4 linked regions of the Arabidopsis thaliana genome follow. The protein of the gene in region 1 interacts with the protein of each later gene in a pairwise test. Each region holds a gene or a part of one and is shown in the gene's direction. Other genes may lie near its edges.

Region 1 (6,835 bases):
CAGCTGGGGAAGTCAACATCCAAATCAAAGATCTTTTGATTCTCACTCACATATCCCTTTATTAAACCGTATCTCTTCCCATTTAAACCGACACAAGAAAATTTATTAGGTATCACGGTTAATACTTTATTATTCAGTAGAAAGTATTAGTATTTAAACAACTAAAGAGAAGTTTTTTTTTTTTCTTGCAATAGCTAAAATTCCATTTTGTATACTCTTAAAAAAACTATGTTAGTATTATTGATTTTGGCCAAATGTATGGGGGGATTTTTTTTTTATAGTATTCTCATCTACTTTTTGTTTTTGTTATTGACTGTCTCTGATTTCTTTCTCGTGTATTGTCTCACTTTTTAAATCATTATCTTAGATTTTTCTTAATAAAATAAAGAAGCAACATACTATATACTATTCTAACATGTAGGATGATAACCTTGTAAGGGCCATAACTTTATGGAATTTCATTTGTAAGTTTGAATAATTACCAATCGAGTGAAGTGAGCATGAAAACAAAGTGATTCAGTGAAAGGGGTACATTTATAACCACATAATCATCATATACTAACCATTTCACTATCTATTACCGTTTCTAAATATTTTACTGTATTATGGTCCTTTAATTTGTGTTTTAACTTTTAGTGGCTAAACGATGCCATAGGACCCAAGGCCATCACACATTGATATCAATCAGAAAGAGAATAAGCAATTATAAGTTTTCATAATAAATATGTGATATAAAACTTGGAGATAAATCAGAATGGGATTCGGAGCATAAGGGGATAACATTAGAGAGATGGATGTAGAAAGAAAAGGACATTGAGTAGGTTAGACGATTCTTATCAAACTTCACTTAAAAGGGTAATCGACCCAACAACATTTTAGTTCTCTCTTTCTTTTTTGGTTCTTTAATTTTAATTTATTTTCCAGACTGTAAACGAATATTAACACTACAGAAGAAACCAAAAATGTTTTTTTTTTCGGCCTAACTATTTGGGATCAATACGATTCGTTGCTTATTTTTTTCTAGTAACCTTCATAGGTTTCTCCAAGCTTTCATTATTTATTGTAATTGATCTCCACTTTAAAAGTAAAATCCAATAAATCAGCATTTCCTAATTATATACTAGTAATATTTTTTCACTTTTATTTTTATCATCTTATATATAGGAACTATATGAATGTAAATGTTTTCACGTAACGTTTTGGACATATACAACTAGTAGTTGCTACTAATTCCAATAGGAACAATTATCGCTATGACAAAAACAAATATCAAATAAGATTATTTTCCAGACAATGACGTATCATTATAATAATAAATTTTAAAATGTTTTATTACAATGAATCTCCACTTATTATCAATCCATCTAGAAACATTAACCGAAAGATGAATGTTTTTCTACATCCATGAAACTAATTTTTTAGGTCAATGTCTGTTGTTGATCCTCTTTTATATATTAGAAAACTATATAAGCACCGTTGGATTTTCTTAACCTGAGAGCGACGCTAACTATAAAGAAAGATCATCATAACATATTATATGTCAAAATCAGTATAGTCAGATGATTTTTATTAACTTTAAAAGTTTTTACAACTTTCACGAACATGAATTGTATGGTGAGAGAAGCTAGCTAGAGAAATAGTTGATTTTTTGATAAATGATTTAACCTTTTTGGCTCCAAGTCTCGACGACAACTTTCTCTTGTCTCTTCTCACTTCTCTTTCCTCTCTCCTCTCTTCTCAAATCTCTCTCTCTTTCGTATTTCTTGGAGACATCTTTCTCTGGAACTGTTCTTCATCGAATTCTATCTTTTGAGAGAAACTAAATTAAGTTGATAATCGAAGAACTTCCTCGAAATTAGGACTTCTTCTGCTTTTTGTTGTTTCCTAGAGATTTTCCTAGAACGTGGTCCAAGAAAATCACACAAAAAGGTTCATTCCTTTTTTCTTACCAGAAACCACAAATCAAAATCATCTCCCCTGTCTTTGTTTGAAATCTCTCAAATTTAAGAAGGATCATCCATTCACTAACCTGAGATTTTGGATAGGTTTCATCTATTTCAGGTACGATAATTCTTCATTATATTTTGTTTAATCCCGTTGCTTTTCTTGGTTTTAAGTTTTGAATCTTTAAGCCTCACATATTTGTTTTCTTTACTCAATCTAAGGTTGTTTTATTTCCAAAGATTTAAAGGATAGATTCTGTGAAAAAGTTTCTATAAATTTCAAATTTTCAAATGTGTAGGTTACTAGCTCTACTAATAACATAATTACTTTATCCACTAACTACAATCTGCATGACTCATTTTTAACTTGATTGTTTATTTAATTACCTTTTTAATCATTAATCCTTGATAGATACTCAATTCTCAATGTTGTGTTGTTCTTTTTTCATTAAAATTCAATGCTTTTAAAGTTTATATTCACAGATTTAGAAGGAGAGAGAGAGAGTAAAGATAGATCATTTGCTTTACTTTCAAACAAAATAATTAAGAAACTGAAAATTTAGGAGAAGGATAATAAACTTTCTGCACTGTAATGAGTACCTTTAAAGCTCACTTTTGGAGTTTGTGTACTTAAGCAAGCTTAATATGTCCATCTACCATACATGATGTATAAATGTATCACAACTAATTTATGATTTATACAAAACTGTTCACAAATCACATGCACCCATTCTTCTTACAAAATCTTTGCTATGATTGATTTTTTATATATATAGTAATATACGTGCATAGAATATAATAATAATAAACAGTAAACACAATTGGAAAACCATAATACTATGAAAATCCCATACATTAAAATATCAAATTTATTTTGAGTGGATTATTAATTGTATAGTGGTTAGTTTGTTGATTTCATATCTTTATTTTTCTATGTAGGTGGGAATTCCAGTGCATCGACCATGATCAACACCTAAACTACAAATTGACCGTTTTGCCCTTGGGAATCACTATAAATGTCGAGAAGACCAGACCTCCTACGTGGCAGCGTGGTCGCCACCGTGGCTGCCACGTTTCTCCTCTTCATTTTCCCGCCGAATGTTGAATCGACCGTTGAGAAACAAGCTCTGTTTCGCTTCAAAAACCGCCTCGACGACTCTCACAACATTCTACAATCTTGGAAGCCTTCCGATTCACCATGCGTGTTTCGCGGCATCACATGCGACCCGTTATCCGGCGAAGTCATCGGTATTTCTCTAGGAAACGTAAATCTCTCCGGCACCATTTCTCCATCAATCTCAGCTCTCACAAAGCTCTCTACGCTATCGCTTCCATCTAACTTCATCTCCGGAAGAATCCCGCCAGAGATAGTCAACTGCAAAAACCTTAAAGTTCTCAATCTCACCTCCAACAGACTCTCCGGAACAATCCCAAACCTTTCTCCTCTAAAGTCCCTAGAAATTCTCGACATCTCCGGGAATTTTCTTAACGGAGAGTTTCAAAGCTGGATTGGGAATATGAATCAGTTGGTTTCTCTCGGTCTTGGCAACAATCACTACGAAGAAGGTATAATTCCTGAGAGTATTGGAGGTTTAAAGAAACTTACTTGGCTGTTCTTAGCTCGCTCCAACTTGACCGGGAAGATTCCAAACTCGATCTTTGATCTGAATGCTCTCGACACTTTCGACATCGCGAACAACGCAATCTCCGATGATTTCCCAATCTTAATCTCAAGATTGGTAAATCTCACCAAGATTGAGTTGTTCAACAACAGCTTAACAGGTAAAATCCCTCCGGAGATAAAGAACTTGACTCGTTTACGCGAATTCGACATCTCTTCGAATCAGTTGAGCGGGGTTTTACCTGAAGAACTCGGAGTTTTGAAGGAGCTCAGAGTTTTCCACTGTCATGAAAACAACTTCACCGGCGAATTTCCTTCTGGTTTCGGCGATCTAAGTCACCTCACTTCTCTTTCGATTTATAGAAACAACTTCTCCGGTGAATTTCCGGTTAACATCGGCCGGTTCTCGCCGCTCGACACGGTTGATATATCTGAAAACGAGTTTACTGGTCCATTTCCAAGATTCTTATGCCAAAACAAGAAACTACAATTCTTGCTCGCCTTGCAGAACGAGTTTTCCGGCGAGATTCCGAGATCTTACGGCGAGTGCAAATCTCTATTGAGACTAAGGATTAACAACAACCGTCTAAGTGGTCAAGTTGTTGAAGGATTCTGGTCTCTACCGCTTGCTAAGATGATTGATCTCAGCGATAACGAACTCACCGGAGAGGTTTCTCCTCAGATTGGACTTTCAACAGAACTGAGTCAGCTCATTTTACAGAACAACAGATTTTCCGGCAAGATTCCTCGTGAGCTCGGAAGATTGACTAATATAGAGAGGATTTATCTGAGCAACAACAATCTTTCCGGCGAAATTCCGATGGAAGTTGGAGATTTGAAAGAGTTATCATCTCTGCATCTTGAAAACAATTCATTAACAGGATTTATCCCTAAGGAATTGAAGAATTGTGTCAAACTTGTTGATCTGAATCTCGCTAAGAACTTCTTGACCGGAGAAATCCCTAACAGTTTATCTCAGATTGCTTCTTTAAACTCGTTGGATTTCTCAGGGAATAGGCTAACAGGTGAAATCCCGGCGAGTCTTGTGAAGTTGAAGCTGAGTTTCATTGACTTGTCTGGAAATCAACTTTCAGGAAGAATACCACCGGATCTTTTAGCGGTGGGAGGATCCACCGCGTTCTCACGTAACGAGAAGCTCTGTGTTGATAAAGAGAACGCTAAAACAAATCAGAACTTGGGGTTGAGTATTTGCAGTGGCTACCAAAACGTGAAGAGGAATAGTTCACTCGATGGAACACTCTTGTTCTTGGCTCTTGCAATTGTTGTGGTAGTACTAGTGAGTGGTTTGTTCGCGTTGCGTTACAGAGTTGTGAAGATACGTGAGCTTGATTCGGAAAACAGAGATATCAACAAGGCGGATGCGAAGTGGAAAATCGCGTCTTTTCATCAAATGGAGTTGGACGTTGATGAGATTTGTAGATTGGATGAAGATCATGTGATTGGATCTGGAAGTGCAGGAAAAGTGTACCGTGTTGATTTGAAAAAAGGTGGCGGGACAGTGGCGGTTAAGTGGTTGAAGAGAGGAGGAGGAGAAGAAGGTGATGGAACAGAGGTCTCTGTTGCGGAGATGGAGATTCTTGGAAAGATTAGACACAGAAACGTGTTGAAACTCTACGCTTGTTTGGTTGGAAGAGGTTCTAGATATTTGGTGTTTGAGTTCATGGAGAATGGGAACTTGTATCAAGCTCTTGGCAACAATATTAAAGGCGGTCTACCAGAACTGGATTGGCTCAAAAGGTACTCTCTAGTCAATAAGAACCAGTTTCAAAATGGTTAATCATGGATCCAAGATTATAAGAAAGAAAAGTGATTAATTTGTCCCTTTTTGTTGGATAAACAGATATAAAATTGCGGTGGGAGCGGCAAAAGGAATCGCATATTTGCATCATGATTGTTGTCCACCCATCATTCACAGAGATATAAAGTCAAGCAACATTTTACTTGACGGAGATTATGAGTCGAAAATCGCAGATTTTGGAGTTGCAAAAGTTGCAGACAAAGGATATGAATGGAGCTGCGTTGCTGGAACTCATGGCTATATGGCTCCTGGTGAGTTTCCAACTTAACTATAAACTTTGGTTCACAAGATGAAAACTGGGAACTGATTCTTTTTTGTTGTAATTGTGTGATATGATCACTGCAGAGCTGGCTTACTCCTTCAAGGCAACGGAAAAGAGTGATGTGTACAGCTTCGGTGTGGTTCTTCTAGAGCTAGTTACCGGTCTTCGGCCTATGGAAGACGAGTTTGGAGAGGGGAAAGACATTGTTGACTATGTCTACTCTCAGATTCAACAAGATCCGAGGAACCTTCAAAATGTTTTGGACAAGCAAGTTTTGTCCACTTATATAGAAGAAAGCATGATTAGAGTTCTGAAGATGGGTCTTCTCTGCACTACGAAGCTCCCGAATCTCAGACCGAGTATGAGAGAGGTCGTGAGAAAGCTTGACGACGCTGATCCCTGTGTCTCCAATTCTCAAGACACAACTGGAAAGATTACAGTATAGATTGATGATTCACCTACCACGTTTTAGTTATGGTTAAGACTAGTCACTGGTCAAAGAAGTATCAGTTTGTTCGAGACTTGAGTAAAAGTACGAGAGATTGGTTTTTGCTTATTTACTAATCCGTTGTACTAAAAAGTTTGCAGTGAAAGGTCGGAGTTATCAGAAAGAGACTTGGATTAATTTATATTAACTACTGTGGGTGTGTGTTACAGGATATTATTCTTGTGACGATAATACACGAAAATGTTACCTCTTAATTGACGAATTCGATTCCGGTGAGAGGAAGTCCTTCATGCAACTGAAGCGCGAGGTCTCCGACAATCTACATTTAACAACAGTAAGAGTTTAGAATCCATTTCCAACCAAATGCAGAAGACATATCAGAAAGAGTGAATCTTCCTTGGATGAGTTTACCTTGGCCATGGACCTATATGAATATTCGGTAACTCCAGCGACATGAGGGGTTATTATAACGTTTTTGAACTTCAAAATAGGATCATTTGGATCAAACGGCTCAGACCACGCCACATCAATCCCAAGGCCTCCTAGATGACCGGACTCCAGATTCTGGAAAGCTGATTCATAGTTAATAAGACCACCTCGGGCAATATTTACAAGAAGAGCACCCTGAAACAACCAAAGAGAAGTCAACAGTCACCAGTAATCACAAAATAATTCAACTCCGTTGACGACAAAAAAAAAAAAAAAAAATTCAACTCGGTTTTTCCAAATATGAATAGCCCCG
Region 2 (6,801 bases), on another chromosome or scaffold:
GTTGTTTCTTTTTCATTATTATTGCTATAGACTGTTTCATACACAAGTTCCAGTACAACTTAAAACACCATGATTTCACAGACAATTTCACTCTGCCGACCTTATTTGGGCGTGTGAGTCGTCAATGTCAAAGCTATAGTGTCTTTATAAATTGAGGATGTATTCTTTTCTTTCTTTTTTTTGTCAACAAAATTATTAGGATTAGCAATCTTATTTTCTACAAAGAGATACAACAAGTGTATTTGACATAACTCTTATGACATATCTGATCAACATGCAAAATATGACTTTGAGCTGCAATTTAAGGTACAATAGTCTAGCTAGATTCATGAATCTTCTCTATAAATCTTTTTTTTTCTTTTTTTTTTTAATGTTCTATCTTTGAGCTGTAATGTAAAAAAAGATGGGTGAGACCAAACTTGCTATGTTTTGAACTAACTGTTCCTCAAAATTTGGAGGACCACTTGTTTGGCACTTTTGGCTTGCCTTCATGAAAAGTCCAAATCTATTTCATAGAAAGGGAAATGAAATAACGATCGCCTCGTGATTTTCAGTTTTTTTTTTTTTTTTTTTTTTTTTTTTGTAATCAGTATTCTTGTGAATTCTCCCACTATCTAAACTTTTAAAAAGTAATATGATTGACGTAGTTTCTCTTAAAAAATTTAAATAAGTTTTTTTCCATTGGATATGTGTCTTGGACTAATATTTCGACCATTAGGTAGGTCAGAAAATATGGATTTCGAGTCTATAACTTTTGGTGACCTTTTTATCGCGTCAATCGGATTTGAGAGATCCTTAAGATAATATGCACAAAAGTAACTAACGCTCCAAAACATCTAATAGAAAACCGTGTGATCATTATATTAATCTTAAACCACAAACATACATAATTACTTAACCATGAAATGGTCGAAATAAAGTGTGATTACAAAATTTATAGCATCTTCGAGGCAGTCCACTGCTTTAGATCCTTTATTTCTACAATTTCAGATGTCTCTTTGCCACAATCTAACTCTTAATTTTTTCATACTGTATATGATAGTCATAGCTATTATCAACAGTTTTATTTCAAACTTGACGAACAATCTAAACTAGATAAAAAGTTAGGAAAGTCGTAAATACCAAGCAGAATTGAGATACCACTTCTTGGAAAAATCAACAGCTCTATTTAATGAAAATATTGCCAACTTATATCGAAATACTTTGGAATATATGAGAAGTCATAGATACGTGTCAATTTGGTTGCACTTGTAAAACCCATCCACGCCGACGCAGCATTTGTCAACGCCCATCTCTCGCGTCCCACGTTTGACTCACATGATTCCTGCTTCGGTGATAAGCCACTCTTATTTTAGTTTGCAATTTCCGTCTGTGAGACGAGTTGTTTCTTTTTTTCTTCTCAATACTAAATTTATGTTATTAGTTTTGCTTGAAATAAAACTGATAAGAATGAGTTATAGCAACCACAAATTGTTTTTGAGTAGATTTTTACTTTCTATACTTTATTGTAAACATGAACAATTCAAAGACATAGATGGTTTCTAATTATAGCACCCAAAATCTAATGGTTTTTAAATTTTCTACTAAAAAAACAAATATCATAAGAAAAAAAAAAAAAACCAAATACTTCCACTCAAGGTCTAGTCACACGTGAGATGCACCAAAATTACAAGTAACAACATAATTACTTTTTTGAATCTTCAAACCAATACATTTATAATTTTTGCCTATAAATTTCTTCACATATCTTCTTCATACTTGAACTATATCACATGTTCCAAATATAGACGAGAACAAAACAAAAAAAAAAAGTCGTCGATAAGAGAGTCCTTTGAAATCCCCAAAATGCCCTTCAACATAACCTCCGTGAAAACCTCATCTAACGGAGTATGGCAAGGCGACAATCCTTTAAACTTCGCTTTTCCGTTACTCATCGTCCAAACGGCGTTAATCATCGCCGTCAGTCGCTTCCTCGCCGTCTTATTCAAACCTCTCCGTCAACCCAAAGTCATCGCCGAGATTGTCGTACGTTAAAAATTACACTCTAACCCCACACACACTAACTATTTACAATTTTACCATAATAATCTTCTTAATTTACAATTCTGCCATCGTCTTCTTCTTCAGGGAGGGATTTTGTTAGGACCATCGGCTTTAGGTAGAAACATGGCGTACATGGACCGTATATTTCCGAAATGGAGTATGCCGATACTCGAATCCGTCGCGAGCATAGGACTTCTCTTCTTCCTCTTCCTCGTCGGTCTAGAACTCGATTTATCATCGATCCGACGAAGCGGCAAACGCGCTTTCGGAATCGCAGTCGCTGGAATTACACTACCGTTTATCGCCGGCGTCGGAGTCGCGTTTGTGATCCGTAACACTCTCTACACCGCCGCGGATAAACCAGGTTACGCCGAGTTTCTCGTTTTCATGGGAGTCGCACTCTCGATCACAGCTTTTCCGGTACTTGCGCGTATTTTAGCAGAGCTCAAGCTTTTAACGACTCAGATAGGAGAAACCGCGATGGCTGCAGCCGCTTTTAACGATGTAGCCGCGTGGATTTTACTCGCTTTAGCGGTTGCGTTAGCGGGTAATGGCGGTGAGGGAGGTGGAGAGAAAAAGAGTCCGTTAGTGTCGTTGTGGGTTTTGTTATCGGGCGCTGGGTTTGTGGTTTTTATGTTGGTTGTGATCCGACCCGGAATGAAATGGGTCGCGAAACGTGGATCTCCTGAAAACGACGTCGTACGCGAGTCTTACGTGTGTTTGACGTTAGCCGGTGTTATGGTTTCCGGTTTCGCGACGGATTTAATTGGGATTCATTCGATTTTTGGAGCGTTTGTTTTCGGTTTGACTATACCGAAAGATGGAGAGTTTGGTCAGCGATTGATTGAACGAATTGAGGATTTTGTTTCCGGTTTACTCTTACCGCTTTATTTCGCTACGAGTGGTTTGAAGACTGACGTGGCTAAGATTAGAGGAGCTGAGTCGTGGGGGATGTTGGGTCTTGTTGTTGTTACGGCTTGTGCCGGGAAGATAGTCGGAACTTTTGTTGTGGCGGTGATGGTTAAAGTTCCGGCGAGAGAGGCGTTGACACTTGGTTTCTTGATGAATACTAAAGGTTTAGTGGAGCTCATTGTACTCAACATAGGCAAGGAGAAAAAGGTTAGTTTTGTCTTCCTTTTTTCTGATTTTTTAAGGTTCTTGTTTACGCTTTTAGTTATCTGATGAATATTATAAATATAAAAAACCTAGTAACACTAAAGTTATTTGATCATGTTTAGTGGATAAAGCATATAAAACAAAATACGATTATTATATTGATTTAATCGCATCTATACCTTTATTTTAGGGTGTTTAGATATATTTAAAAATTTAGGTTCTAGTTGGATCCATGTGTATATGCGTCCGGTCCGCTCAATATTGGTAGGCTGGTCGGGGATCCGGAATAGTAAAATTGCTTATGTTTTATTTGAACATTAACCAACCGTTGTATAAATTCAAATTGATAGCTAGGCAGGCCCGGCTCTAGGGGAGTGCCAGAGGTGCTAGTACACAGGGTCCTCATTTTTTTTTCTTAATTTTAAGTCTTCTAGTTTGCAGTTTTTTTTTTTTTAAGGGGAAAACTACAAAAAAAACAACCACCAAAATAAAAGATAATAAGTTTAAAATAAAAATACAGTAAACACATGTCACATAAAGTTATTTTGTTTAGATTTAAGGGCTATTTTTGTTTGTAGCACAGGGCCCAATAAAATATTGAGCCGGGCTGCTAGGTTTACTATCACTATAATAGACACGGTTGCAATTTGATAGCTAGGTTTGCTCTCAACCGTTGTATAGTAATATTAGTCACCATAATACAAATCTGCAGTTCATTAATCATAGACTGATGGACACGGTTGCAATTTGATAGCTAAGTTTACTATGTGCATCGAAGATGATGCAGTTAGCAATGGTAGCTTCAAAACATTAGTCCGTGATTCTTTTGTCACCTCCGAAATAAACATTTTTATCTTAAATATATGTGCAAGATTATACTATAATGCTTCTGGAAATATGTAGTATATAAAATTTTTTGTTTAAACGTGTCTTCCCAACAAAGATTATAGTTATATACTACACTTTTATTATAAAGGCGTTTCTTATTGTTTTGGGGTAATAAAGAAAAACTGATCAATTAAGGACTAGTCATATATATGCATGCATGAAAACTTTATTTTTATTTTTTTTTCTGCATGAAAACTTTATACGAATATACCTTTTCGAATGGGCCAATGTTTACGTAATCGTCACTTACTGATCCACTTGCAGATTTATGATCTTCTTCATAATGCAACAATAAAGTGAAATAATGATTACCCATTAATGTAGTAAGTGTGGTTATTTTTAATTAAACTGTTTGTACGCGGGGTTGACTTTAACCAGGTACTAAACGACGAGACGTTTGCAATACTAGTGCTAATGGCACTCTTCACAACGTTCATAACGACGCCTACTGTAATGGCCATTTACAAGCCGGCACGTGGCACCCACCGCAAACTAAAAGACTTGTCGGCGAGCCAAGACTCCACCAAGGAAGAGCTTCGCATCCTAGCCTGCCTCCACGGCCCAGCCAATGTCTCCTCCCTCATCTCTCTCGTCGAGTCCATCCGAACCACCAAGGTAAATTACCTTTCTTTTATATTTTTACGTTACAATAATCTATATTTAAATTTGTAAATCTATGATAAGAGTTATATCAGAAAATTAAGATATCATTGAAATGCTCAATGAAAATGTATCCTACGTATAATTACACACATTTTGTATAGTTAAAATTAAAAATCAGCTGGGTAATAATTTATAATCTTGGTTAATAATTTAAAAAGTCGTATTTGTTTTGGCAGATACTACGGCTAAAGCTGTTTGTGATGCATCTGATGGAACTAACGGAACGGTCTTCGTCAATCATAATGGTGCAAAGAGCCCGTAAAAACGGACTTCCTTTCGTTCACCGTTACCGTCATGGTGAGCGTCACAGCAACGTCATAGGAGGCTTCGAAGCCTATCGTCAACTAGGCCGGGTCGCAGTCCGGCCCATCACCGCAGTCTCTCCATTACCCACAATGCACGAAGACATTTGCCACATGGCAGATACCAAGAGGGTCACAATGATCATTTTACCTTTCCACAAACGATGGAACGCTGATCATGGTCATAGCCACCACCACCAAGACGGAGGAGGAGATGGAAACGTACCGGAAAACGTTGGTCATGGTTGGCGATTGGTTAACCAAAGGGTTTTGAAGAATGCGCCGTGTTCGGTGGCGGTTCTTGTAGACCGTGGACTTGGGTCCATTGAGGCCCAAACTTTGAGCTTAGATGGGTCGAATGTGGTTGAAAGGGTTTGTGTGATTTTCTTTGGTGGGCCTGATGACCGTGAGTCTATAGAGCTCGGCGGGAGAATGGCTGAGCATCCGGCCGTTAAAGTTACCGTTATTAGGTTTTTGGTAAGAGAAACGTTGAGGAGTACCGCCGTCACTTTACGACCGGCACCGTCTAAAGGCAAGGAGAAGAACTATGCCTTTTTAACAACCAACGTGGATCCAGAAAAAGAAAAGGTAAATCTCTTTTGATCCCCTATGTTTATATACCAGTTATGACAAATATAACTATAGCTTTCTTTCTTGGAAAAATAATTATAGGAATTAGACGAAGGGGCATTGGAAGACTTCAAGAGCAAATGGAAAGAAATGGTGGAGTACAAAGAAAAGGAACCAAACAACATCATTGAAGAAATACTGTCAATAGGACAGAGTAAAGACTTTGATCTAATAGTGGTTGGAAGAGGGAGGATACCGTCGGCCGAGGTGGCGGCATTAGCTGAGCGTCAAGCTGAACATCCTGAGTTAGGTCCTATCGGAGACGTGCTCGCCTCTTCGATCAACCACATCATTCCATCAATCCTTGTGGTTCAACAACACAACAAAGCTCATGTAGAGGATATTACGGTTTCCAAAATTGTTAGTGAGTCTTCTCTAAGTATTAACGGAGACACAAATGTATGATAACAATAAATAAATTGATCTAGTACTTAAACTTCGGCTTAATGCATGGTTAAAGTGGTTAGTTGAAGATGTAGTTTATCTACAATATATAGATAGCTCTTGAGTAAGAATTGTAAGATCGTCTACATATAAATAACCATGATTGGGCATCTTGGGCATCGTCTACATATAATTTCATATTTGGACTAAATAGTAAATACAATTATCATTTGGGCCATTTGAGAAACTACCGGAAACCTCTCACGTGCCAGAGACACGTACCAAAAAAAACCCCGAACATTTATTAGGAAGAAGAGAAAAAACGGAAAAGAAAAAAAAACGCATCAATCTGAGCAGCACAAGTCTGCGAGATTTGGATTAGATCTGATTCAGGTTGGATTGATCATCGTTCGGAGCTCCGGGAAACATGGCGGCGACGAGACAATTACGAACTCTCCAATCTCAGCCTGAAAACAAGGTATGTGTCGATTGCGCTCAGAAGAATCCTCAATGGGCGTCGGTTTCGTACGGAATCTTCATGTGTTTGGAATGCTCCGGGAAACACCGAGGCTTAGGCGTTCACATATCCTTCGTCAGATCCGTAACCATGGATTCATGGTCTGCGATCCAGATTAAGAAAATGGAAGCTGGTGGTAACGAACGGCTCAACAAATTCTTCGCGCAATACGGAATCGCTAAGGAGACAGATATTATCTCCAAGTACAATTCGAACGCTGCTTCTGTGTATCGTGACCGGATCCAAGCTTTAGCTGAA
Region 3 (4,990 bases), on another chromosome or scaffold:
AGAGTAATCACACAGCCTCCTAGAAAGCTCAATGAGGTTGCTATACAAAACAAGGTCACCAGAAACACGGTCTTGTTCCATCTTTTGAAGCCAAGACAAAGCAGAATCAAACATACCCTCTTTACCAAACGAGGTAATTAGCGTTGAATAAGTATACCTATCAGGGGCAAGAGCTCTCTGACGCATTTCGTCGAACAGTCCGTGTGCAATATCAAACTGCTTAGCTCTCAACACATTTCGAAGAACAACATTGTAGGCGAACACAGAAGGTGTGTATTTGGCTTCCTCATGAACCCAATCGAGCAATGCCAATGATCTCTGCCAATCATTTTCTCGAGAAAGAAGAGAGACCATGAACCGTATAGATAATTGTCTGTCTTTGTAAGTTGAAAGCAAAGAAAAAAGCTCTTTTTCGTTCTGGGTCTGGTGAATTGAAGCTAAAAGCTCGTCCATATCGACGTTGTGGTCGAGAAAAGCAGATCTTTGATACCTCCGATGTTTCCTTAAGGCCTGAAACGACGACGTAGTGTTCTTCTCCGGTTGTTTTCTCCATACCTTTTTGTTTTGTGTGGATTCTGAAGAAGAAGAAGCAGAGACTGTGAAGATGAGATTGCGTTGTCTAGCTTCAGGAATGGTGGAGAAGGGTATCGAAGTGTAGATATGAGGTCTGGTTAAGGGTAATAATGGAAGAGAAAGTGAAGAAGATGAAGCAATTTCTATGTACATCTTACACAAAGGATTTTTTTAAAAACAAAAGTACGTTAAATTTTAGTTTCCAGCCTCATCGACAGTCTATTTATAAGTAATATATCAGAGTTGAGAGTCAGCAAAATTTAAGCTCATCTCTATCTCTCAAAAGCAAAGTAAAGCTTAACCAATGGAGATAAGGTATTTTCATATCCGTAGTTACGTACAATTCGTAAAATGTGTTTTCGTACCTAAATATATTTGTAGAGTAAACTATAACCCAAACCAAAAAAATATTTAAATTTCATATCTAAAATTTGTGCAAAAACAAGAGTCAAATTAATTAGTGTTAGCCAACATTGTTACAGTGCTAAGTTAAGCGAACACATATATGATGATATGTCTTTAAAAGATATGTAGACTCGAACCTGTAAGTTATAGCTTTTAAATAAGTATCTAATACCGATTTATCCGACAACCTTCTCCGGGTTATACACAATAAAACAAATTTATAAATCTTAAATATCTGGTATCAATTATCAGTTCTTATTTACGGACCAAATTTCACGCTAAAATGAAAATCTACTATTGATAAATTCGTGGAAAAGATCAAATCAGAAGTTAAGAACAATGACAAGACTCATTTAGATTCACTGCTTTATGTATTTTGTTAGCTATGTCTTTTGAAATCGAAATGGAAGAAGAGTCTATTGAGAAGATGTATCAAATGATGGCGGAAATTTTAATTGTTGTTGATCCTACATCAAAATCCTAGAATTTGATTATTTTTTCCAATTCACAACGACATTCTTTTGTTAATCTGAAAACACAACACACTTAAGGTATATAAACTAAAACGTTTGGGTAAATCTCGATGAAGATTATGAGATAAAAATGGTTATGTACCTCCTTTAAAAGCAAAGATCTAAAACCAACATTTACTCTAATAAAAATTCAGATAATAATTGTAAAAGTAACAGAATGTACTTTCCTAACATGTATACAACCGGATATCCATCATTGTCTGAAATGGACACACACCCTCGAAAGTCTAAATTAGTTATCACTGGTTACTTCTCTATTTGTGTCTAACGAATAAAGTCCTTGGTTGACTTATTATGTGTTCCAAGTTTATGGGCTTTATAGTGGCCCATCACATAGATTCCAGATTTCATTTTATTTCCTACCTACTAAGATCTGATCTGGTTTTAATGCTCTTGACCAGTAGTAATCTTTCTCTTTTCGTTATTTCCTTCTTCTTCAGTTCCTCCTTCTTCAATCTCTCTATTCTCTTACTAACGTTATTTCTTCAATCTCATTGATCAAAAAAAACCAAAACCCTAATCTGCAAAAATCTCAATTTCCTCCAAAAGTTTCAGTTTTTAAAAATGGGTTTTCTTCTTTTGTAACGAAAAAATGTGTCAAACTTTGAATTGACCATTTTTTTTTATAAGGATTCGATGAAGAAATTGAGAAGCTATTACTCAAATGTGAGACATCATCAGAATCACCATCATCATCACCATCATCATAGCAACATTGTTTCTTCAGAGAGGAAATGGATATTTTTCCCTCTATTGATTGGTTCAATCTTCGCTTTGTTCTTACTCTTCCTCACAACAACCCTAACTTCACCAACCGGAGGAGTCCGATTTCTCCCTTTTACCCGACCCGTTTTGTTAACCGGATCTGGTTCATCAGCTTTCGTTGAATCCAAAATCAAACCTCAACAAATCTCATCACTCCCGTCGCCACCGCGTTTTGCTTACTTGATTTCTGGATCCGCCGGCGACGGGAAATCTCTCCGGCGAACTCTTTTGGCTCTTTACCATCCGAATAATCGGTATGTTGTTCATTTAGATAGAGAATCTTCGCGTGAGGAGAGAGAGGAGCTTCATGGATATATCAAAAACTCGTCTTTGTTTCGAAGGTTTATGAATGTTCATATGATTGAGAAAGCTAATCTTGTCACGTATCGTGGACCTACTATGGTTGCCAATACACTTCACGCCGCTGCGATTTTGCTTAGAGAAGGAGCTGATTGGGATTGGTTTATCAATCTTAGCTCTTCTGACTATCCTTTAGTGACTCAAGATGGTGAGGTTTCTGAGGAATTGTTTGAGAAAAATTGAAACTTTTAGTTATGATTGTTCACTAAAGATTTGACCTTTTTGTGTGTCAGATTTGTTGCATATCTTTTCGCATTTGCCGCGGGATTTGAACTTCATTGATCATACTAGTAACATTGGATGGAAAGCGTAAGAAGAGTTTTAGAGTTTTTGTTTTCTGTGTCTTTTGTTTCGTATAGTAGAAGGAACTCTGATTTTGTTGTTGTTTTGATCTGGTTTCTTTTAGATCACAAAGAGCAAAACCGGTGATTATAGATCCTGGACTGTATTTGAACAAGAAATCTGATGTTTTTTGGGTTACGCAAAGACGGAGCATCCCAACAGCATTCAAGCTTTTCACAGGTGCTTGATCCCTCTAAAGCCTACTCGGTTTGTTACACTATAATCATCTCTGAAATTGCTATGATTTGATTCATGTTTAGTTGGATGAAACACTGACTCATCATACTTAGATTGCTAGGAAAATCTTTATAATCTCTGAGCAATTCACAGACTTGTTTTGATTGGTTGTCTCTATGTAGCTGTTTAGTTCGGTCGGTGCTTCTCAGATTTGCTCCATTTCTCATTGGTTGAACAACGTGGAATCATTATGCTTAGATTAGAACATTTGATAAGATCTGCAATATTATACTAAGAAGTTGGTTTTAAGTTTTGCCTTTGATTGTTGGGAAGACTTTTCTTCAGAGTCTATGATTCTCACATCGTTACAATTTCAGATTCTCTTTAACTAACATGTGATTCTTGGGAACAGGCTCTGCTTGGATGGCGTTATCTCGGCCATTCGTCGACTATTGTATATGGGGTTGGGATAATCTACCTCGTACGGTCTTAATGTATTACTCGAATTTTCTCTCTTCTCCAGAAGGATATTTTCACACTGTTCTCTGCAACGCTGAGGAATTCAGAAACACAACGGTAAATAGCGACCTGCACTTCATATCGTGGGACAATCCGCCTAAGCAGCATCCACACCATCTCACTCTTACAGACATGACCAAAATGGTAAATAGCAATGCCCCGTTTGCTAGAAAGTTCAGAAGAGAAGATCCTGTCCTTGACAAGATCGATGATGAGCTCCTTAACAGAGGTCCTGGGATGATAACACCTGGCGGTTGGTGCATTGGAAGCCATGAGAATGGGAGTGACCCTTGTGCTGTTATTGGTGATACTGATGTTATCAGGCCTGGTCCAGGCGCTAGACGGCTCGAGAATCTGGTAACTTCGTTATTATCCACTGAGAATTTCCGATCAAAACAGTGTAAGTGATCTGATATATCTAGAGAACGACATCACATAGAGATGGAATGTAGCAGCCTTGATTATTGGGGTTAGATGTGATTTAGGATCTGATAGAAATCCCTCTTTTAGTCAAGAATATAAGTGAAGAAATACAGAACAATTAGGCTATATGATGTGGGAAGTATTTGTCTTGTTGCTCCACACAACATGCCTTAAGGTCTTGTTGTAGTTCTCAGATTGGAATTTTGAGATTTTGTACTCTGCTGTTTTAAAGTTAGTTTCTTCCTTTCAACTTCTTATTTTGTAGTTAAGTTAAACCCAAACATTGCATTCATGCACTAGTAAAAAGAAACATAAGAAGCATTTTAAGCTCATAGAACAAAATTGCGTCAAACAGTAAAAATCATCAACCAACTATTTGTACTTGTTAGTTGTTCCCATCAGTTTTACAATTTCAAGATCAAAACCGGATATTGAATACACCGGTTTGATATCTTTATTGGTTTTCTTTCCCACTCCACTGACTTGTCTCCTTAGATATACACATGTTAAGATTTTTGAGGAATTCTTTTGTTCATCTAGAAACTTCGTCTCAACGTTTTGATGATCAGCACTAACAATACGACCACAATGTTTAATAAAAGAAGAAAGTTTTGAAGGAAAAAGTTTTCATATTGGAAAACCATACCTTTCAAAACTTTCTATCTGTTTATCTTCATGCAAGCAAGTCATTTTAAAGATAGATTTTGAAGTTTAACCTCATAGTGCTAGGATTCAGACAAATATGGATTGAAGTATAACCAGATTAGATTACACCTTAAGACAAAAGAAGCAAATTCATACAAATTCAAGACCCCGTAGTGCTAGGTTTTGTTTGTACTTTGTAAATACTAAATTCTAATGATGCTATTTATGTAGAACATTTACCAGTTTAA
Region 4 (5,627 bases), on another chromosome or scaffold:
CGGAGGAGAAGAGTGAGTTTATTTCAATTTACCTGAGATGTTAGAGATTTGGCGTTTTTAGAATCTGGATCGTCTGGTTGACCGGAGGATTCATCGCCTGCTCGCTTCGAACGAGCTATACACGTCAGCATTTTCCGGTGACTGGCTTGGTCTTTGATTTGAGATTTTTTTTCTTTCTCTTTTTGGATACGGAGAGAGAGAGACAGAGATGGTGTCAGTTTCTTCTACTTTGGTTTGGGTTCGGTGCTCTTTTTATGTTTTATTCTCTCTTTTTTTTTATAATTTCTGCTTAAGAAACTTTAAACCGGGATTACCGGTTTCCAATAAAGGTTCCGCGTCTCACTACGGTAATTACGCAATCCGGTGGTTAAAATTTCGAAAGTGAAAAAAGTAAAAAGTTTTGGTCTTGCATAAGGTAAGGTAAATCATTTTTGTTTGTTTACTGATTAGCTAAACTTGTACAGAGGTTAGACTATATACATGATTTTTGGCCTGTGGATTTAGACTTTCAGAGGTATCAAAGGTCGTTCTTCACACTCAAGTAGCCAAGTGTGCTGCAAGATTTGAAGTTAATCGATATGTATGCAAAATTTGACTCTGACTTTTGAGAAACCTAAAACGAAATAATTTATTATGTGTGGTTCTAAGCTAGATCACAATAATAAAAAGTTGTTCTTAGCATTATTCATTAAATGGGTACTGTAGTGTGTTGTTCATAACGCTTCTGATGGCAACTCATTGACATTTAATTTAAGGATAGCAATATGTTCCGTCCGACAATATTTATGTATGTGACGTCTTCGTCTACATTACATTTCAAGTGAATAATGATCCAACGACTCGAAAATATTAATAGTGTAAGTATTTTTGTTGTTGTTGTTGTTGTTGTAAATTTGGTAATGTACTAAACTGAAAATTAAAATGTTTTGGCAAAGGGTGGTGGTCCAAGACTTGTTTAGTTTACAAACAACTCTTCAGTATTTTTCTTTTTTTTCGACCAGCCACTATGGTCTTGTTATCGTTGAGTGTCAATATAACCTTTCTGAAACATTACACTAGGGTCACTAAGATAAATTGGTCTCTTCTCCACTTTTATTATTTCATATACAAATTTGTATGTACCAAGATCTTATCCACAAAATTTCGTTTTTCCCAAAACTATTATAATATTATTAAAGAGGTCAAAATGGTTTGTGCTTGTTTACAATATATTTAAGTTTTTTTTTGCTAAGTTTCTTACAACATTTCAAAATGCATGACAATGATTTTACTTAACTCATTTAAGCAAATAACTTCGCGATACAAACAAAAATCAAGTTACTATTATATAAAAATCAAGATAGAAACTGTAGAATAATCTATATAATTGTTGAGTACAAACTTTACAACTTAGCCGAACTATTGATTAGAGTTCATCGGGAAATGTCATATTTGAGTATTGTTGGTGGACTCGCAAATGAACAATTTAGACCACCAAATAGAGCTACATTTTCTTATGGTGAAGACTCAAAATCGGTTTGGGTTTAGCGCATAGATGGGCTTTAGTTTCGGCCCAGTGAAACTCTGTCTCAATCCTTCTCACCTGTAAACTTAAAAAAAGAAACGAAGAAGCTCTTTTTCTCCCCTCTGAAGAAGAAAAGCAAAATCCACGAGAGAAACAGATAGAAAGTTGCAAAAGTGCGTTCGATTTTTGCTTCTTCTTCTGTTTCGGATTCGGATTTGGATTTGGAATCTGCTCCTTTAGCAGAACCAGAGGAAATGGTGACGTACGTGAGCGCGTTGTTCTACGGATTCGGAGGGATAGTCGTCGCCGGAGTGGCGCTGCTCGTGGCTTTCCAGGAGAAGCTTGTGTACGTCCCAGTGCTTCCGGGTTTAAGCAAGTCTTATCCGATCACTCCCGCTAGGCTCAATCTCATCTACGAAGATATTTGGCTTCAATCATCCGATGGTGTACGTCTCCACGCTTGGTTCATCAAGATGTTCCCTGAATGTCGAGGTCCACACTCTCTTTGATCATTGAGTCTCCTTTCGATTCAGTTTTTTTTTCCTGGTAGATTTGATTTTACATTTTCGAATAAGCTTTTGAATCTACTGAATTTTGAGGGATTTTAGGTCTTGATGTCTCTGTCTTTAGCTAGGTTTTGGATTCCTTTTCTCAGATTTGTGATCCCTAAGTCATTTTAGCTTTAGTTTGGAACTTATCTGTCACCTAAAATCTAGTTGCTTGTGGTTGGTAGCTTTAGCCTAATTCGAAGTCTTTCTAATAGTTTATGTTTGGCATGCAGGTCCAACCATTTTATTTTTCCAGGAGAACGCTGGAAGTATCCTTTCCAGAGCCATTTCTTGGTTTTTGTTTGTTTATATTTGTATGCTCTAAGGAACCTATTTTATGTTCCATGTCTGTTAGCTGGGATACTTTGTCTTGTTACGACCTTGACCTTAGAATCCCAGACATCGCTCATCGTCTGGAGATGGTTCGCATCATGATACAAAAATTGAAGTGCAATGTATTCATGCTTTCATATCGCGGGTTAGTTTCAGTTTGCTGGTTTCTGGTCTATCTCTTATATAAATTGTTTGTTTTTGAGTCTAAACCTTGGATCTGTTTATACAATGCTTATTGATTTTCCCGTGCAACCAGCTATGGGGCAAGTGAAGGCTATCCTTCACAACAAGGTATCATAAAAGATGCTCAGGTTTGCTTGTCTCCCTAAATTTATCCACATATCTCTTCTGTTGCGTCTCCATGTATTCATTATCCATTTTCTTGCCTGATATTTTTTGTTAGGCTGCATTGGATCACCTTTCTGGAAGGACTGACATTGATACATCTAGAATAGTTGTATTTGGAAGGTCCCTTGGGGGAGCTGTTGGAGCTGTGCTTACCAAAAACAATCCAGATAAGGTACTATTAGTACATATTGCTATTGGTAGCATTTCATGAGTAGGGAAAATGTATATTTTATTAGAAGAGAGACAGTATAGGCCAAGTACCAGCCGCCAGCTCTGTGGATGTTACTGTTTAAAGGGAGAAGTATTATTGAGAGTCCCACATGGTTACGAATGAGACTAACAAATGCCTTATAAATTATAACGCCTAAGGGCACCTTCCTCTCTCCTCTAGGGGCTTGGTTTGGATGGCTTCTTATCAGTATATTAATGAGATTCTGGTTACTGTTGCAAATTATTATAACTCATGGTCTTTGGCAGATGACCTGGAGTCCAATTGTATAAAAATTTCTAGAGTACCTCTTTATTTAGATTCTAGTCACTTATCATCAGTAACAATCTACGCGGTTTGTACTATCTGAATATAATTATTTTTTGTGTTAAAGTTTTAGTCATCTGGCAATAAAAGAACCTGGTTGATAGGGGTATTCGTTTGAGCTTTGTTATAGGCCTCCTTTTATCACCCCCACTGATATTTACTATTATATGCACAAGAACCTTATCCTTCTCAGAAAATTTCTTGGTAAATGAAATTTGTAGATGCCTTGATTAAGCTATTATTTTTGTTCTTGTTGTCTCTACTTCCAGTATTTCATTTGATATCCACACGCCTTATAGTTGTATGTTTACCATTTCTCAATGTCGCTATATAGGTATCTGCATTGATTCTGGAAAATACTTTCACATCCATTCTTGATATGGCTGGCGTTTTGCTGCCGTTCTTGAAGTGGTTTATTGGAGGAAGTGGTACGAAAAGCCTGAAGCTTCTTAATTTTGTTGTACGTTCTCCCTGGAAAACAATTGATGCTATTGCTGAGGTAAGATGCAAATGTAGACTCTTGCAGATAGATGTTAGATGGATTCTTTTCGTTTACTGTTTGCATATGCCATAAAATGACTCATTTAAGCAAAAAACACTATGGTACCCCAATGACCTCACTGGCATATATATTAATATATCTCATGCATTTGCATTCCTTCATTTCCTTTTAACGGGACATAGTGTATATATCTTTGCGGAATATGTTGAATTCATGATAAGCTAACCCGAACTATAAAATTATTCATGTATGCCGCAAGCTGATTGATTGCTCCCTGATTTGTTCTATGGAGTAAAACTTGAAAGGAAACAAGAAAGGAGCTTGATGTGCTGCTAAAAACATATCCCTGTTAAAAAAATGTCTCATCGTTTGATTTTCTGTAGCAACCTGTGATAAACTGATCTTGCAACAATGACAGATCAAACAACCAGTGCTTTTCCTCTCTGGACTGCAAGATGAGATGGTCCCTCCATTTCACATGAAAATGCTGTATGCGAAAGCGGCTGCCCGTAACCCTCAGTGCACATTTGTGGAGTTTCCAAGTGGGATGCATATGGATACATGGCTGTCTGGTGGTGAAGTTTACTGGAAAACAAACTTGCAATTTCTCGAAAAGTATGCGCCTGAGAAAAGGAAAGAAGATACAGGTAAGATGATCTACCAAGTATAAGTAACAATTTTGTTTTACAGAGATGTTTCTTGGGATGTTTTTCCCAAAGTAGAATACTAGGCTTGACGTTGGTCTCTAATCTGATGACAGGAAGGTAACGATCAACGATGCTGTGTTTAGAGGAAGATTCGACTCACTTATTTCCTATTGCAACCTGAAACGACGGTATTGTTTGTTATAAGCATGTGTATACGTATGTTGCATTTGGGAGTGACAGATACAACTTGTTCAGAGAGTGAGATATTGGACAGGAACTTTTGTAAGCAGAACCAGCTAGTGGAGATGGCAAGTGTAAGCTAATCAGATGCATTTGCTTCGTCTCAGTTTTCCTTCTTTTTTTTGGGTTATTTTTTTTCCAATTGTTGTTGGTGTTTCTCATCTGATCGTAACTATTTCCTCTGGATGATCATGGCTTTGTAGATGATTGAGAAAAGTGAAAAAAGACATGGTTATATGATTATATCTTGAATGTGTTGATTACGTCTGTCATTCATAATATTTATGAAATCTGTAGAGTAGTTTTTTTCCCGACAAACTTGATTATGTTTGAAAATGAGATAACACCAAACTAAACGCACGAAGACATTATTAATGTCCATTATTTATGTATTTTTATTTTTAAATAAGTGTTGTGACTAGACCGGGTCGGTCACTGTCCACGGGGCAACTTTTTAGTCTGCATTAAGTTTTCTTACTTTATCACTTAAGAACAAAAATTCTGCTTTAGAAAAAAAAAAGAAGCAAACCTCACTGTTCTTTCATCGTTTCCGAGAGAGGAGAGACGGACATGGAAGGAGGAACTGCGCACTACAGCCCTCGAACTGTCGAAGAAGTCTTTCGAGATTTTAAGGGCCGTCGAGCTGGCATCATCCAAGCTCTCACCACTGGTCTCTTCTTTCTTCTCTTTGCTTTTTAAAGTTTGAAACTTTTCTTATGGGTTTTGAGTTTTTCGTGGGAATTCTTCTCATGACGATCGTTTGGTGGCTTTATTTAGACCCTTTTTCAACAATTGTGCTCTAGTGTTATGGATTGTGTTGATGATGCTTAGTTCTTCGAATTAAGAACAATTAATTTCTTTTTTTTGCAGATGTGGAAGATTTTTTCCAGCAATGCGACCCTGGTTAGCTTTTTTCTCTCTCTAGCCTTAAGTATGCTCTCAAGCTGTTTCAGTTATTCCTGATTTTGAA

The links.
Region 2: the proteins of AT1G72180 (region 1) and CHX20 interact in a protein complementation assay, tested with the Arabidopsis thaliana proteins (one large-scale study listed by BioGRID).
Region 3: the proteins of AT1G72180 (region 1) and AT5G39990 interact in a protein complementation assay, tested with the Arabidopsis thaliana proteins (one large-scale study listed by BioGRID).
Region 4: the proteins of AT1G72180 (region 1) and WAV2 interact in a protein complementation assay, tested with the Arabidopsis thaliana proteins (one large-scale study listed by BioGRID).

Annotation. Positions count from the first base shown.
Region 1 is NC_003070.9:27,161,115-27,167,949, forward strand, and holds AT1G72180 (Leucine-rich receptor-like protein kinase family protein), read left to right. Parts: upstream 1-1,705; 5' UTR 1,706-2,061; intron 2,062-2,882; 5' UTR 2,883-2,959; coding exon 2,960-5,322; intron 5,323-5,425; coding exon 5,426-5,634; intron 5,635-5,728; coding exon 5,729-6,090; 3' UTR 6,091-6,316; downstream 6,317-6,835. Other genes in the region: AT1G72190 (D-isomer specific 2-hydroxyacid dehydrogenase family protein), read right to left, coding at 6,344-6,412, 6,505-6,717. UniProt on the Arabidopsis thaliana protein: Receptor kinase involved in the perception of C-terminally encoded plant signaling peptide (CEP) and subsequent regulation of root and shoot development.
Region 2 is NC_003074.8:19,905,072-19,911,872, reverse strand, and holds CHX20 (cation/H+ exchanger 20), read left to right. Parts: upstream 1-1,646; 5' UTR 1,647-1,845; coding exon 1,846-2,025; exon of another isoform or gene 2,026-2,127; coding exon 2,128-3,162; intron 3,163-4,425; coding exon 4,426-4,662; intron 4,663-4,886; coding exon 4,887-5,600; intron 5,601-5,684; coding exon 5,685-6,047; 3' UTR 6,048-6,282; downstream 6,283-6,801. Other genes in the region: AGD6 (ARF-GAP domain 6), read left to right, coding at 6,454-6,801. UniProt on the Arabidopsis thaliana protein: Operates as a K(+)/H(+) antiporter that maintains K(+) homeostasis in guard cells and could regulate pH. Plays a critical role in osmoregulation through the control of stomates opening.
Region 3 is NC_003076.8:16,002,347-16,007,336, forward strand, and holds AT5G39990 (Core-2/I-branching beta-1,6-N-acetylglucosaminyltransferase family protein), read left to right. Parts: upstream 1-1,906; 5' UTR 1,907-2,147; coding exon 2,148-2,784; intron 2,785-2,869; coding exon 2,870-2,945; intron 2,946-3,042; coding exon 3,043-3,158; intron 3,159-3,567; coding exon 3,568-4,082; 3' UTR 4,083-4,477; downstream 4,478-4,990. Other genes in the region: AT5G39980 (Tetratricopeptide repeat (TPR)-like superfamily protein), read right to left, coding at 1-726. UniProt on the Arabidopsis thaliana protein: Beta-glucuronosyltransferase involved in the biosynthesis of type II arabinogalactan (AG). Modifies both the beta-1,6-linked galactan and beta-1,3-linked galactan present in type II AG.
Region 4 is NC_003076.8:6,942,447-6,948,073, reverse strand, and holds WAV2 (alpha/beta-Hydrolases superfamily protein), read left to right. Parts: upstream 1-1,559; 5' UTR 1,560-1,758; coding exon 1,759-1,996; intron 1,997-2,285; coding exon 2,286-2,321; intron 2,322-2,451; coding exon 2,452-2,530; intron 2,531-2,641; coding exon 2,642-2,696; intron 2,697-2,788; coding exon 2,789-2,905; intron 2,906-3,602; coding exon 3,603-3,767; intron 3,768-4,188; coding exon 4,189-4,417; intron 4,418-4,530; coding exon 4,531-4,538; 3' UTR 4,539-5,119; downstream 5,120-5,627. Other genes in the region: BRXL4 (BREVIS RADIX-like 4), read right to left, coding at 33-131; AL5 (alfin-like 5), read left to right, coding at 5,228-5,327, 5,528-5,560. UniProt on the Arabidopsis thaliana protein: Involved in the regulation of root growth. Involved in the suppression of the root bending in response to touch stimuli, gravity and light. Negatively regulates stimulus-induced root bending through inhibition of root tip rotation.